Linked DNA regions of Anolis sagrei. The protein of the gene in region 2 purifies or fractionates together with the protein of the main gene of each other region. This does not show direct contact. Links are inferred from orthologs where the notes say so. Each region holds a gene or a part of one and is shown on either strand. Other genes may lie near its edges.

Region 1 (7,350 bases), on a different chromosome or scaffold from region 2:
TCCACACAGAGAAGCCTTTCACACAGGACATAAAACCAAGAGCTCCTGTAGAAAGCTTCGTCTTCTACGGCTTGGCCGGGGTTATATAGCCCTACATCTCCTTTGCTGAAGCACTTCAACCAGCCATCACTGGAACCTGAATTCTTTTTACCCTGGAAGTCTACAAAGCTCTGCTTGGTAAGGGTCACTCGCGGAAGCCAGAAGCAGTTGGTACCGGGTGCAGGGGCTCCACGCCAACAGAGGCAAAGACAGACTGCCCAGATTAGAAGTTAAGGATTTCCCCATTAGTTACAGTTATGAAGATAGTGCCTGTTCCCTGTGGACAAGATTGAGAGAGAGCCAATAGACCAGTAGTTCTCAACCTGGGGTCCCCAGATGTTTTTGGCCTACAGCTCCCAGAAATCCCAGTCAGTTTACCAGCTGTTAGGATTTCTGGGAGTTGAAGGCCAAAAACATCTGGGGACCCCAGGTTGAGAACCACTGCAATAGACTGTTAAGAAAGCCTTAAAGTACCTGTTTGTTTTCATTAATAAAGAACTTTGTTGAACCTTTAAGCAATCTAAAGACTCTGTTTTAAGGAAATCCAAGGGCCTTTAATCTGAGGCAGCCCGGGTGTCCCGTTGGGCACACGGAATTTATGTCCTGTCTACAGTCTTATGCACAGGCCTAGCGTGCAACAGCACAATGTTTATATGTATATATGGTTTATTTTGGGGGTTTTTAGGGTGTATATTGTATATTGGTGTATATGTATGTGTGTGTATATATGTATATTTGTGTGTGTTTGCGTGTATATATATATATGTATGTGTGTCTGTATGCATGTGTACATGTATATGAATGTATGTGTATATGTATATATGGTTTATTTTGGGGGGGGGGTTAGAGTGTATATGTATAGAAGTGTATATGTATGTGTGTGTATATGTGTATATTTGTGTCTGCTTGCATATATATATGTGTGTGTGTGTGTCTGTATGTATGTGTACATGTATATGAATGTATGTGTATATGTATATATGGTTTATTTTGGGTCTTTTTAGGGTGTATATGTATAGAGGTGTATATGTATGTGTGTGTATATATGTATATTTGTGCATGCTTGCATGTATATGTGTGTGTGTGTCTGTATGTATGTGTACATGTGTAAATGTATATGAATGTATGTGTATATGTATATATGGTTTATTTTGGGGGGGGGGGTTAAGGGTGTATATGTGTAGAGGTGTATATATATGTGTGTGTATGTGTATATTTGTGTGTGCTTCCGGGATATGTATATATGGTTTATTTTGGGTCTTTTTAGGGTGTATATGTATATAGGTGTATATGTGTATATTTGTGTCTGCTTGCATATATATGTGTGTGTGTCTGTATGTATGTGTACATGTATATGAATGTATGTGTATATGTTTATATGGTTTATTTGGGGTTTTTTTGGGGTTTTAGGGGTGATTGTCACTCTTTGGCCTGTTAGTTGTATTGTGTCCAAATTTGGTGCCAATTCGCCCAGTGTTTTTTGAGTTATGTTTATCCCACAAATGAATCTTATATAGAAATAATTATATATAAATAATAATTATATATAAATAACGAATCTTATATAGAAATAATTATATAAATAATTATAATATAATAATAAACGAATCTTATATAGAAATAATTATATATAAATAATTATAATATAATAATAAACAAATCTTATATAGAAATAATTATATATAAATAATAATTACATATAAATAACGAATCTTATATAGAAATATTATATAAATAATTATCATATAATAATAAACGAATCTTATATAGAAATAATTATATATAAATAATTATAATATATATAGGTGTGTATATGTGTGTGCATATATGTATATTTGTGTCTGCTTGTGTATATATATGTGTGTGTGTGTCTATATGTATGTGTACATGTATATGAATGTATGTGTATATGTATATATGGTTTATTTTGGGGGGGGTTAGGGTGTATATGTATAGAGGTGTATATGTATGTGTGTGTATATGTGTATATTTGTGTGTGCTTGCGTATATATATATATATATATGTGTGTCTGTATGCATGTGGACATGTGTACATGTATATGAATGTATGTGTATATGTATATATGGTTTATTTTGGGGGTTTTTTAGGGTGTATATGAATATTGGTGTATATGTATGTGTGTGTATATGTGTATATTTGTGTGTGCTTGCGTATATATATATATATGTATGTGTGTCTGTATGCATGTGGACATGTGTACATGTATATGAATGTATGTGTATATGTATATATGGTTTATTTTTGGGGGGGGTTAGGATGTATATGTATAGAGGTGTATATGTATGTCTGTGTATATATGTATATTTGTCCATGCTGGCATGTATATATGTGTGTGTGTCTGTATGTATGTGTGCATGTGTACATGTATATGAATGTATGTGTGTATGTATATATGGTTTAAATTGGGGGGGGTTGTGTGTTTTTAGGGGTGATTGTCACTCTTTGGACTGTTAGGTGTATTGTATCCAAATTTGGTGTCAATTCGCCCAGTGTTTTTTGAGTTATGTTTATCCCACAAACGAATCTTATATAGAAATAAGATTTCATTCATATCTCTTTCTCTAAAAGGTAACAACTTGTGAAAACGTACGTGTGAAAAAGATCTTGGAGTCCTTGTGGACAACAAGTTAAACATGAGCCAACAATGTGATGTGGCGGCAAAAAATGCCAATGGGATTTTGGCCTACATCAATAGGAGTCTAGTGTCTAGATCTAGGGAAGTCATGCTCCCCATGCTCTATTCTGCTCTGGTTAGACCACACCTGGAATATTGTGTCCAATTCTGGGCACCACAATTCAGGAAATCAGAAGACGCTTCCTTCTTGGGAGGAGAGCAATGTCCAATCTCGATAAAATAGTAAAGAGTAGAGACATCAGACTGGCAACAAAGATCCGCCTAGTCAAAGCCATGGTATTCCCTGTAGTGACCTACGGATGTGAGAGCTGGACCTTAGGGAAGGCTGAGCGAAGGAAGATCGATGCTTTTGAGCTGTGGTGTTGGAGGAAAGTTCTGAGAGTGCCTTGGACTGCGAGAAGATCCAACCAGTCCATCCTCCAGGAAATAAAGCCCGACTGCTCACTGGAGGGAAAGATACTAGAGACAAAGTTGAAGTACTTTGGTCACATCATGAGGAGACAGGAAAGCCTAGAGAAGACAATTATGCTGGGGAAAGTGGAAGGCAAAAGGAAGAGGGGCCGACCAAGGGCAAGATGGATGGATGGCATCCTTGAAGCGACTGGACTGACCTTGAGGGAGCTGGGGGTGGTAACGGCCGACAGGGAGCTCTGGCGTGGGCTGGTCCATGAGGTCACGAAGAGTCGGAGACGACTGAACGAATGAACAACAACAACAAATTGACAAGCTGGAATGTGTCCAGAGGAGGGCGACTAAAATGATCAAGGGTCTGGAGAACAAGCCCTATGAGGAGCGGCTTAACGAGCTGGGCATGTTTAGCCTGAAGAAGAGAAGGCTGAGAGGGGATATGATAGCAATGTATAAATATGTGAGAGGAAGCCACAGGGAAGAGGGAGCAAGCTTGTCTTCTGCTTCCCTGGAGACTAGGACGCAATGGAACAATGGCTTCAAACTACAAGAGAGGAGATTCCATCTGAACACGAGGAAGAACTTCCTGACTGTGAGAGCCGTTCAGCAGTGGAACTCTCTGCCCCGGAGTGTGGTGGAGGCCCCTTCTTTGGAAGCTTTTAAGCAGAGGCTGGATGGCCATCTGTCAGGGGTGATTTGAATGCAACATTCCTGCATCTTGACAGGGGGTTGGACTGGATGGCCCATGAGGTCTCTTCCAACTCTTTGATTCTATGATTCTATGATATATAAACCCTTTTTCCTAGTTCCAACAGACCTCCCTACCTCTGAGGATGCTTGCCATAGATGCAGGCGAAACGTCAGGAGAGAATGCCTCTAGAACATGGTCATATAGCCCCAAAAAACCTACAACAACCCATTCACCCAATCCTCCGTGCCCTGCTCTGTCCACCAGGGGGCGCTCTTCTCTACGCCTTCCTAGCATTGCCCATTTCGAGCCATAGCGTTCGCTTCTCGGTGGAGATTGTCCCGCGGCGAGACCCGTCAGCCCCTCACTCTCTCCTGCGGTTGCTGGGGCGTCTCTTCCTTAGCGACTGAGCCGGGGAAGGGAGCCTCCCTCGGATTGGCCGCCGGCGCTGCCTGTGTGGGGAAGCCCCGGCTGGGATTGGTCGAGCGGGGCGTAGTAGGCGGGGCGTGTTGTGTGGAGGGCTGGTTCCGCCGGCGTCGGGGCGTCCGAGGCGCCTCTCTCTCCGGCCCAGAGGAGCCATGTCCGGCCAGGAGGAGGAGGAGGAGCGCGCCAAGGAGATCCTCAGGGGCTTCAAGCTGTATCCCAGGGAAGGAAGGAAAGAAAGGAAAGAAAGCAAGCGGGGGAACGAGGAGGCCAGGGATGGAGGCCCAGCTCCTGCGGGTTTGCTCGGGGAATTACGGTACAGAAGCCTTGCTTGGGAGGGGAGAGGGAGGGGGATATGGGGGAATATGGGAGGCTACTTCAATAATAATAATAATAATAATAATAATAATGTTCTAGAGGCATTCTCTCCTGACGTTTCGCCTGCATCTATGGCAAGCATCCTCAGAGGTAGTGAGGTCTGTTGGAACTAGGAAAATGGGTTTATATATCTGTGGAATGACCAGGGTGGGACAAAGAACTCTTCTCTGCTGGAGCTAGGTGTGAATGTTTCAACTGACCACCTTCATTAGCATTAGAAGGCCTGGCTGAGCCTGGGGGAATCTTTTGTTGAGAGGCGATTAGATGTGCCTGATCGTTTACTCTCTGCTGTTTTGCTGTTGTAATTTTTGAGTTTTTTTTAATACTGGTAGCCAGATTTTGTTCATTTTCATGGTTTCCTCCTTTCTGTTGAAATTGTCCACATGCTTGTGTATTTCAATGGCTTCTCTGTGGAGTCTGACATGGTCCCAGCATTTCTGTGTTCTCAAATAATATGCTGTGTCCAGATCAGTTCCTCAGGTGCTCTGCTATGGCTGACTTCTCTGGTTGAAGGAGTCTGCAGTGCTTTTCATGTTCCTTGATTCGTGTTTGGGCAACGATGCTGCGTTTGGTGTTCCCTCTGTAGACTTGTCCACAGCTGCATGGTACACGGTGGACTCCTGCAGCGGTGAGAGGATCCCTCTTGTCCATTGCTGAACGAAGCATTTGTTGTATCTTCTTGGTGGGTCCGTAGGTTGTTTGTATGTTGTGTTTCCTCATCAGCTTCCCTCTGTGGTCAGTGGTTCCCTTGATGTATGGCAGGAACACTTTTCCTCTGGGTGGATCTTCATCTTGACTCTTGTGGCTTGTTCTGGGTCTTGCAGCTCTTCTGATGTCTGAGGTGGAGTCTCCATTGGCCTGGAGAGCCCAGTTGAGGTGGTTCCCCCAGGCTCAGCCAGGCCTTCTAATGCTAATGAAGGTGGTCAGTTGAAACATTCACACCTAGCTCCAGCAGAGAAGAGCTCTTTGTCCCACCCCAGTCATTCCACAGACATATAAACCCATTTTCCTATTTCCAACAGACCTCACTACCTCTGAGGATGCTTGCCATAGATGCAGGCGAAACGTCAGGAGAAAATGCCTCTAGAACATGGCCATATAGCCTGAAAAAACCCACAAGAACCTAGCAGAGTAAATAATAATAAACTATTGTATTCCTTTGTATACCTGACCTTTTTTCACGTGAGATCTAAAGCAGCTATAAATAAATATAATAATAATAAATGGCAGAGGAAATAACAATTTAAATGTATCAAATCCTGATCTCTTTCACATGAGATCAAAGGCGGATATAAATATAATAATAATAAAGGGCAGATATAATAATAATAATAATAATAATAATAATAATAAATAGCAGAGGAAATAATAATAAACTATCGTATTCCTTTGTATACCTGACCTTTTTTCACATGAGATCAAAGGCGGATATAAATAAATATAATAATAATAAATGGCAGAGGAAATAATAACAATTTAAACAAACTACCGTATTTCTTTGTATCAAAACCTGCCCTTTTTTCACGTGAGATCAAAGGTGGATATAATAATAATAATAATAATAATAATAATAATAATAAATGGCAGATACAAATATAATTATATGAACCACTAAGACAATTAAGATCTTCTGGTGGGGCCCTGCTCTCAATCCCACCACTTTCGCAATCGCATCTGGTGGGAATGAGAGACAGGGCCTTTTCTGTGGTGGCCCCTCGGCTATGGAATTCTCTCCCAATTGAGATCAGATATGCCCCCTCCCTCCTGTCCTTCAGGAGGCTGGTGAAATCTTGGCTATGGAAGGAAGCATTCCCAAAGTAATGGATGAAACCGGCTACAGAACAAAGTTATCGACCACACAAACGGACTGAGTTGGACATGATTTTATCTTGGCGATTTGGCTTATTTGTAATTTTAATCGATATGTATTTTAACTTGTTATTATATGATGTTTTTAGATAATACTATTAGCATTGAATCCTTGCTGTAAGCCGGTTTGAGTCAAGGAGGTGAGAAGATCGGGATATAAAAGTTTTAAATAAATAATAATAAATAATAAGAATAATAAATAGCAGAGGAAATAATAATAAACTACCGTATTCCTTTGTATCTAAGGTTCCCCATTTTTTTAACTTGAGATCAAAACTCAAGTGAAACTCACTTTTTTGCACTGGAGATCAATGGCAGACATAAATATAATGATTTTTTTTCATGTCAGGAGCGACTTGAGAAATTGCAAGTCGCTTCTGGTGTGAGAGAATTGACTGTCTGCAAGGACGGTGCCCAGGGGACGCCCAGGTGTTTTGATGTTTTAATGTTTTACCATCCTTGGGAGGTTTCTCTCATGTCCCCCATGGGGAGCTGGAACTGACAGAGGGAGCTCATCCGCGCTGTCCCCGGAGTTGAACTTCCAACCTTCCGGTCTTCAGTCCTGCCGGCTATATAATGATAATTATAATATATTATTATCACAGTATAATAATAATAATAAATGGCAGATATAAATATAATGACAATAATACATGGCAGATATAAATATAACGATAATAATAATACATGGCAGATATAAATATAATAACAGTAATAAATGGCAGATATAAATATATGATGATGATAATAAGTGACAGATATAAATATAATTACGATGATAATAATAAAAATGGCAGATATAAATATAATAACAATAAATGGCAGATATAAATATAATAACAATAAATGGCAGATATAGATATAACAATACCAATAATTATAGAATCA
Region 2 (7,626 bases):
CAGCAGTCTGAGACTAGGCCAAGGCAGGTGCAACACAGCTTTATAGTCACTCCCTCCTTGGAGGATTGCTGAGTCGCACCCAGTTGGAAAGGGCCTGGGGCTTCTCCTACTCACAAGTAGTCCAGGGCAGCCAAGCTGGATGTAAGGATTCAGGACCCCTGTGGCAGGAGCAGCAGCAGTCTGAGACTAGGCCAAGGCAGGTGCAACACAGCTTTATAGTCACTCCCTCCTTGGAGGATTGCTGAGTCGCACCCAGTTGGAAAGGGCCTGGGGCTTCTCCTACTCACAAGTGGTCCAGGGCAGCCGAGCTGGGTGGAAGGATTCAGGACCCCTGTGGCAGGAGCAGCAGCAGTCTGAGACTAGGCCAAGGCAGGTGCAACACAGCTTTATAGTCACTCCCTCCTTGGAGGATTGCTGAGTCGCACCCAGTTGGAAAGGGCCTGGGGCTTCTCCTACTCACAAGTGGTCCAGGGCAGCCAAGCTGGATGGAAGGATTCAGGACCCCTGTGGCAGGAGCAGCAGCAGTCTGAGACTAGGCCAAGGCAGGTGCAACACAGCTTTATAGTCACTCCCTCCTTGGAGGATTGCTGAGTCGCACCCAGTTGGAAAGGGCCTGGGGCTTCTCCTACTCACAAGTGGTCCAGGGCAGCCAAGCTGGATGGAAGGATTCAGGACCCCTGTGGCAGGAGCAGCAGCAGTCTGAGACTACGGACTCAAACAATTATGGATCTGGACCAAAATTGACATGAATATTCCATATGTCCAAATATGAACACAGATGGAGTTTGGGGGAAATAGACCTTGATATTTGGGAGTTGTAGTTGCTGAGATTTGTAGTTCACCTACAATCAAAAAGCATTCTGAACCCCACCAACAACAGTATTGGGTTAAACTTCTCACACAGAACCCCCATGACCAACATAAAGTACTTAAGGCCATCCAGTCCGTCTCCCTTCACCAGGGCAAGAAAACGTAATCAAAGCCCTCCTGACAAAGAGCCATCCAGCCATAGATATAGATAGATATATATGATTCACACGCACACACACACACAGATAGTATCATAGATCTGAAAGGGACCCCTAAAGAAGGACATATATATATGTTGCATGTTCCAGAGTAGGCAAACCAGACCTCCACATCAACACTTACAAACAACAAGAAACACTGTTTAACCACAAGCATAAAGAAATTACATATATTAGAAACCAACACTTTCTGATTACTTTATTTTCCAGATCACCAGATTGGGCCACAACAATGCGTGTCAGGGGACCGCTAGTCATATTGTGTGTGTGTGTGTGTGTGTTTGTGTGAAAGGTTTTCTCGAGATACATTGAGCCCTCATAATTTCATGATGACCATTTGTGTATGTGTCCATAGCTCTTCAAGGGGCTCTTCCACCCTGACATAGAACCCAGAATGTCAAGGCAGATAATCCACAAAATGCATCAGTTGTGTTAATTTTGTGATGGTTTTAAATGTGGCATGTTATTTATTTTGTTTTAAATTATCTGCTATATTTTTTATGACGATAAGCTGCTCTGAGTCCCTTGTTGGGAGATGGTCCGGTGTATAAATAAAGTTTATTATCATCATCATCATCATCATCATCGTTGTTGTTGTTGTTGTTATTTGAAACACAACAAGATGAATCCACAGCAAACAAGATCACTCTGCTGGCTGTTGTATTGCATCACACACTGGACACTTCCCAAGTGTCTAGGACTGTGTGATGTATCGGCGAATAATGCATGCAGATCCCAGTAGGGTGGCATTTCTGCAGCTGGCAGATGGTAATCTTGTCAGCGCTGATTGTGTTTAAGTGCAGGCCGAGTTCTTTAGGCACTGCACCCAGTGTGCCAATCACCACTGTCATTATTATTATTATTATTATTATTATTATTATTATTTGAAACACAACAAGATGAGTCCACAGCATCAGTGTCTTAGGATCACTCTGCTACCTGTTGAACTGGATCACACGTCGGCCACTTCCCAAGTGTCTAGGACTGTGTGATATATTGGTGAATGATGCGCGCAGATCCTAGTAAGGTGGTCTTCTGCAGTTGGCAGATGGTAATCTTGTCAGCGCCACTTGTGTTTAAGTGCAGACCAAGGTCTTTAGGCACTGCACCCAGTGTGCCGATCACCACTGGGACCACCTTGACTGGCTTGTGCCAGAGTCTTTGCAGTTCGATCTTTAAATCCTCATATCATGTCAGATGATGATTATTATTATTATTATTTGAATTGAGTTATCTGAATCCACACTGCCATATAATCCAGTTCAATGTGGATTTTATACAGCTGTGTAGAAGGAGCCTAAGCAGTTAGTTTAACCTCCACTTTGTGAGTAAAATTGAATGACGGTGTCACGAAACGACGCATCCCTGGAAAGTGTGTCACCAACCTGGAATGTTTGGAAAACTATGGTCCAATTCAGCACGCAGAACCTAAACTCCTAAAGCCTTGTGTACAACTGAATGGAGTTGGCTTTTGTGGTCTCTTCTAATTCTATTAATTGCCCTTCTTGCACTGTGTTCTCTGCCCCTGAAAGCATCTTCCTGATCTCCTCCTAGGCTGTGCTTTCTGCTCTGAGACACAAAGAGGCAAGGCAGGGATTGCAAGGGATCCTTTCCCACCTGAAATCAGGAAAGACTTCAGCAGGAATGCCAAAAGGACTGGAACAAAAGCAGGGAATGTGTGTGTGTGTGTGCTGCAGGACCTACATTTTCTAGAAGAGGAGTTAAAGCAGCACAAGCACAAGCAGTCAAGACACCCACCCAAAGTGGGTCTCCCTCCCTCCCTCCCTCCCTCCCTCTCTGCAGCCCACCCACTCCTTTCCTGTCCCTGTTCAAAGCCAAGGGGGAGGGCTGAGAAGGCAAACTTTCCCCCTCCCCCCAAAAGGGCCCGGATCCCCCTCTTCCCTTACCTTCTCTCACCGCATCCCATCCGCTGGCTGGCCCCACGATGGAGGCAGGAAAACACCCGAGGAAAGGAGCCACTCCCCCGAGCTCCACCGCGCACGGGCGTCCGGGTCATAGAGAGCTTCCAAGGGAAGAGAGGCGGAGGAAAAGAGCAGGGAAGGAAGAACAGGAGGAGAGGAAGGAAGGAAAGAAAGGGACAGAGGGAGGAAGAAAAGAGAGCCCGGGCATTCCAGGGAGTGAGATTCACAGAACCCGAGAGTTAGAAGGGACCCCAAGGGCCACCCAGTGCAAACCCCTTCTGCCATGTAGGAAAGGCACAATCAAAGCATTCCTGACAGATGGACATCCAGTCTAGTGGACTGGACCATCTGCAAAGGAAAGCATTCCTGAGAGAACTGGGGCATCATAGAATCATAGAGTTGGAAGAGACCCCCAAAAGGGCCATCCAGTGCAAACCCCTGCCTGTTGGAACACACCATCAAAGCACCACCAACAGATGACCATCCAGTCTAGTGGATTGGACCATCCGCAAAGGAAAGCATCCCTGAGAGAACTGGGACATCAGAACCATAGAGTTGGAAGAGACCCACAGAGGCCACCCAGTGCATGTAGGAACACACCATCAAAGCATTCCTGACAGATGGACATCCAGTCTAGTGGATTGGATCATCTGCAAAGGAAAGCATCCCTGAGAGAACTGGGAAATCAGAATCAGAGAGGTGAAAGGGACCCACAAAGGCCATCCAGTACAACCCCCTTCTGCCATGTAGGAACACACCATCAAAGCATTCCTGACAGATAGACATCTAGTCCAGTGGATTGGATCATCTGCAAAGGAGAGCATTCTTGAGAGAACTGGGACATCGGAACCCTAGAGTTGGAAGAGACCCCAAGGGCCATCCAGTGCAAACTTCTTCTGCCTGTTGCCACACCCCATCAAAGCACCACTAACAGATGGCCATCTAGTCTAGTGGATTGCATCATCTGCAAAGGAAAGCATCCCTGAGAGAACTGGGACATCAGAATCATATGGTTGAAGAGACCCCCAAAAGGGCCATCCATTGCAAATCCCTTCTGCCATGTAGGAACACACAATCAAACATTCATGACAGCTGGACACCCAATCTAGTGGATTGGACCATCTGCAAAGGAGAGCATTCCTAAGAAAACTGGGGCATCATAGAATCATAGAGTTGGAAGAGACCCCCAAAAGGGCCATCCAGTGCAAACCCCTTCTGCCATGCAGGAAAAGCACAATCAAAGCATTCTTGACAGATGGCCATCCAGTATAGAGGATTGGACCATCTGCAAAGGAAAGCATCCCTGAGAGAACTGGAACATCAGAATCATATGGTTGGAAAAGACCCCCAAAAGGGCCATCCAGTGTAAACCCCTTCTGCCATGCAGGAAAAGCACAATCAAAGCATTCCCGACAGATAGACATTCAATCTAGTGGACTGGAGCATCTGCAAAGGAAATGGACTATCCTTCTCCGTCTAGGCCCCCTTTTGGACTTCACCCAGATTTTTTTTCATGTCAGGAGTGACTTGAGAAACTGCAAGTCACTTCTGGTGTGAGAGAATTGACTGTCAGCAAGGATGTTGCCCAAGGGATGTATTTTGGATACAGTTGGCCCTCCATATCCAGTGATTTTGAATTAATGGATCCAACCATACACAACTTGAAAATGCTTCAAAAAATTAAATTCCCAAAAGCTAACCTTGATTTTGTCATTTTATATAAGGCATACTATTTTACTATGTCATTTTATATGATGGGACTTCAGTACCCACTGATTTTGGAACTCATGGTGGTCCTGGAATCAAACTCTAGAGCCCTCATTTTGAGGGCTCACTGCATGTGGAAACAGATCTCGCAACCCAATACTGGGTTTGTTTTGTCTGCGAAACTGTAAATATCCAAACCAAAATGCCATCTACTATTTATTTGTCCAAGCTTACCTAGTGGGCTTCCACAGTCAAGTAGTGATCCGAACCCTTTAGTGCTGGAGTTTGAATTCAATGCTCAAGCCATTATACCATGTCGGCTCCCATGTTGGCTCTTTGGCAAAAAAAAAAAAAAAAGAAAAAAGAAAAAAAAGAAAAAAAAAGCATGCAGCCAATTAAAAATATCCACCACCAGTCATGAACTTCTCAAATCAAGATAAAGGCTTTGCAAAACAAAGAAGACTTTGTCACTTGCCAACATAAATCTTTTCAAAACTGGTGTAACTGGGCCTCCAAAGAAAAGAACACTGTCAACTTATCAACTTGCAATTGATAAGGCTCATGACTCAGCCAGACAACTTACGCCTTCAAGAGAAAATGTAGCAGAGAGCCTTTTACCAGAGATATTAAGGAACTTGCTTTGGACTTTCAGTATCTATTCTTCCCCCATAGCTAAAATCCGAGCATTGCAAAATCAATATTTCTCTAGAGCAGGGGTCCTCAAACTAAGGCCCAGGGGCCAGATACGGCCCTCCAAGGTCATTTACCCGGCCCTCGCTCAGGGTCATCCTAAGTTTGAAATTACTTGAAAGCACACAACAACAATCCTGTCTCATCAGCCAAAAGCAGGCCCACACTTCCCATTGAAATACTAATAAGTTTATACATGTTAAAATTGTTCATTTTACTTTTTGTATTGTTTTGAAGTGGTTTTTGCACTACAAATAAGATATGTGCAGTGTGCATAGGAATTCATTCTTTTTCAAATTATAATCTGGCCCTCCAACAGTTTGCGGGACTGTGACCTGGCCCTCTGTTTAAAAAATTTGAGGACCTCTGCTCTAGTGAGACAGTAGAGACTAATATTTGTATAGTAACAAGACAACTCCTACATCTAACCAGTCAACACTAAAGACAGTACTCATTTCCTGAATAGCAGTCTGGGGCATAGCCACCAGATGGCAGTATTACTTCATTCCTATCTGCATTGCCATTTGAAACTGCAATTCTGTACAGTTAAACTGCATTAGATGAGTTTATACTGACCATATAACATAGTTTCAAACTGCACAATATGGCAGTGTCAAAAAGACTTAAGTTACAGTGTTTCTTGCGGTTTGGGAATTGGATTAAGATTCAATGGGTTACCAGCGTTTCTCAACCTGGGGGGGAGGGGTCGTGAAGGGATGTCAGACAGGTCGCCAAAAACCATAAAAAAAAAACACAGTATTTTCTGTTGGTCATGGGGGTTCTGTGTGGGAAGTTTGGCCCAATTCTATCATTTGTGAGAATGTGCTTTGATTGGAGATGAACTATAAATCCCAACAACTACATCTCCCAAATGTCACGGGTCTATTTTCCTCAAACTCCACCAGTGTACACATTTAGGCAGATTGAGTATTTGTGCCAAATTTGGTCCAGATCCATCATTGTTTGAGTCCACAGTGCTCACTGGATGTAGGTCAACTACAACTCCAAAACTCAAGGTCAAAGCCCACCAAACCCTTCCAGTATTTACTGTCAGTTATGGGAGATATTTACATTACAATTCATAACAGTAGCAAAATTACAATTATGAAGTAGCAACGAAAATAATTTTATGCTTGGGGGTCACCACAACATGAGAAACTGTATTAAGGGGTCGCGACATTAGGAAGGTTGAGAACTATTGAGTTAAACCCTTGTGCTGGCAGGACTGAAGACCGACAGGTCAGAGGTTCGAATCTGGGGAGAGCGCAGATGAGCTCCCTCTGTCAGCTCCAGTTCCCCATGCGGGGACATGAGAGAAGCCTCCCACAAGGATGGTAAAACATCCGGGTGTTCCCTGTACAACATCCTTGCAGACGTTCAATTCTCTCACACCAGAAGTGGCTTGCAGTTTCTCAAGTCACTCCTGACACAAAACAAAACAAACAAACCCTCAGAGGAAGTCAATGGAAAACCATTTCTGTACAAATCCTACCAGGAAAACCTCATGACAGGGTTTCCATAACTTGGAAACAAGTTGAAGGTACACAGCAACAACTTATGCCTTCTTTTCCTAGGAGTAAACCTTACTGAATACAGTTAGACTTGTTCCTGAGCATAAATCCATGTAAATGCTCTTACTTTTGAGCATAAATGTATATAACTACAAAGGAGTAGGAGACAACGGGAAGTGAGAGGAAATCTACCCTCAGAAGGGAAATTCACTCCTGGAAGAGTTGTCATGGGGAAAGTGTGTCTCCACTGAAGCTTTATCTCCAATCCTTGTTTTCATGACAACCCAAAATTTCCAACATGCACTTGTCACAGGGACAGACTGAAGTAAAATCTTCTGAACAGGGGTAGAGACAGTAAAACAAACACACAGGGGTGTTAACCCTTTCATATGCTATCCAAATATGTGTTCATAGAAATAGATATATATGGAGTTGCACTTAGAAAATGTACCTGTTCCGACTTACATACAACTTCACCTTAAGAACAAATGTACAGAACCTATTTTGTTTGTAACCCAGAGACTGCTCAAACTTGTGTGGAGATCTTTGCATTTGTGTTTTACCAAAGCATTTTGCAGCTGGAAGTACAATCTGGTTTAGCCAGTTTAACAGGCCTGAGAGAAGTGAAACATGCTCAGTGGAAGGCAATAGAACAAAAGGTGCAATGTAGCTATCTTCAATCTTCAGATTCTTGTCTTTGTTGTGGCAGTTCCTAATGGGTTTTTTTTTTTTTGCAATAGCTTAGTAAACAACAAAAGGGCTTGCAGC

Evidence for each region.
Region 1: the proteins of FBXO10 (region 2) and PDE6D purify together in Homo sapiens (affinity purification with mass spectrometry; 3 studies listed by BioGRID and IntAct, with this or other methods). This does not show direct contact. The link is inferred for Anolis sagrei from reciprocal best matches to the Homo sapiens genes FBXO10 and PDE6D.

Annotation. Positions count from the first base shown.
Region 1 is NC_090023.1:266,472,030-266,479,379, forward strand, and holds the start of PDE6D (retinal rod rhodopsin-sensitive cGMP 3',5'-cyclic phosphodiesterase subunit delta), read left to right. Parts: upstream 1-4,295; 5' UTR 4,296-4,370; coding exon 4,371-4,429; intron 4,430-7,350. UniProt on the Homo sapiens protein: Promotes the release of prenylated target proteins from cellular membranes. Modulates the activity of prenylated or palmitoylated Ras family members by regulating their subcellular location.
Region 2 is NC_090022.1:152,323,439-152,331,064, reverse strand, and holds the start of FBXO10 (F-box only protein 10), read right to left. Parts: upstream 3,062-7,626; 5' UTR 2,936-3,061; intron 1-2,935. UniProt on the Homo sapiens protein: Substrate-recognition component of the SCF (SKP1-CUL1-F-box protein)-type E3 ubiquitin ligase complex. Mediates the ubiquitination and degradation of BCL2, an antiapoptotic protein, thereby playing a role in apoptosis by controlling the stability of BCL2.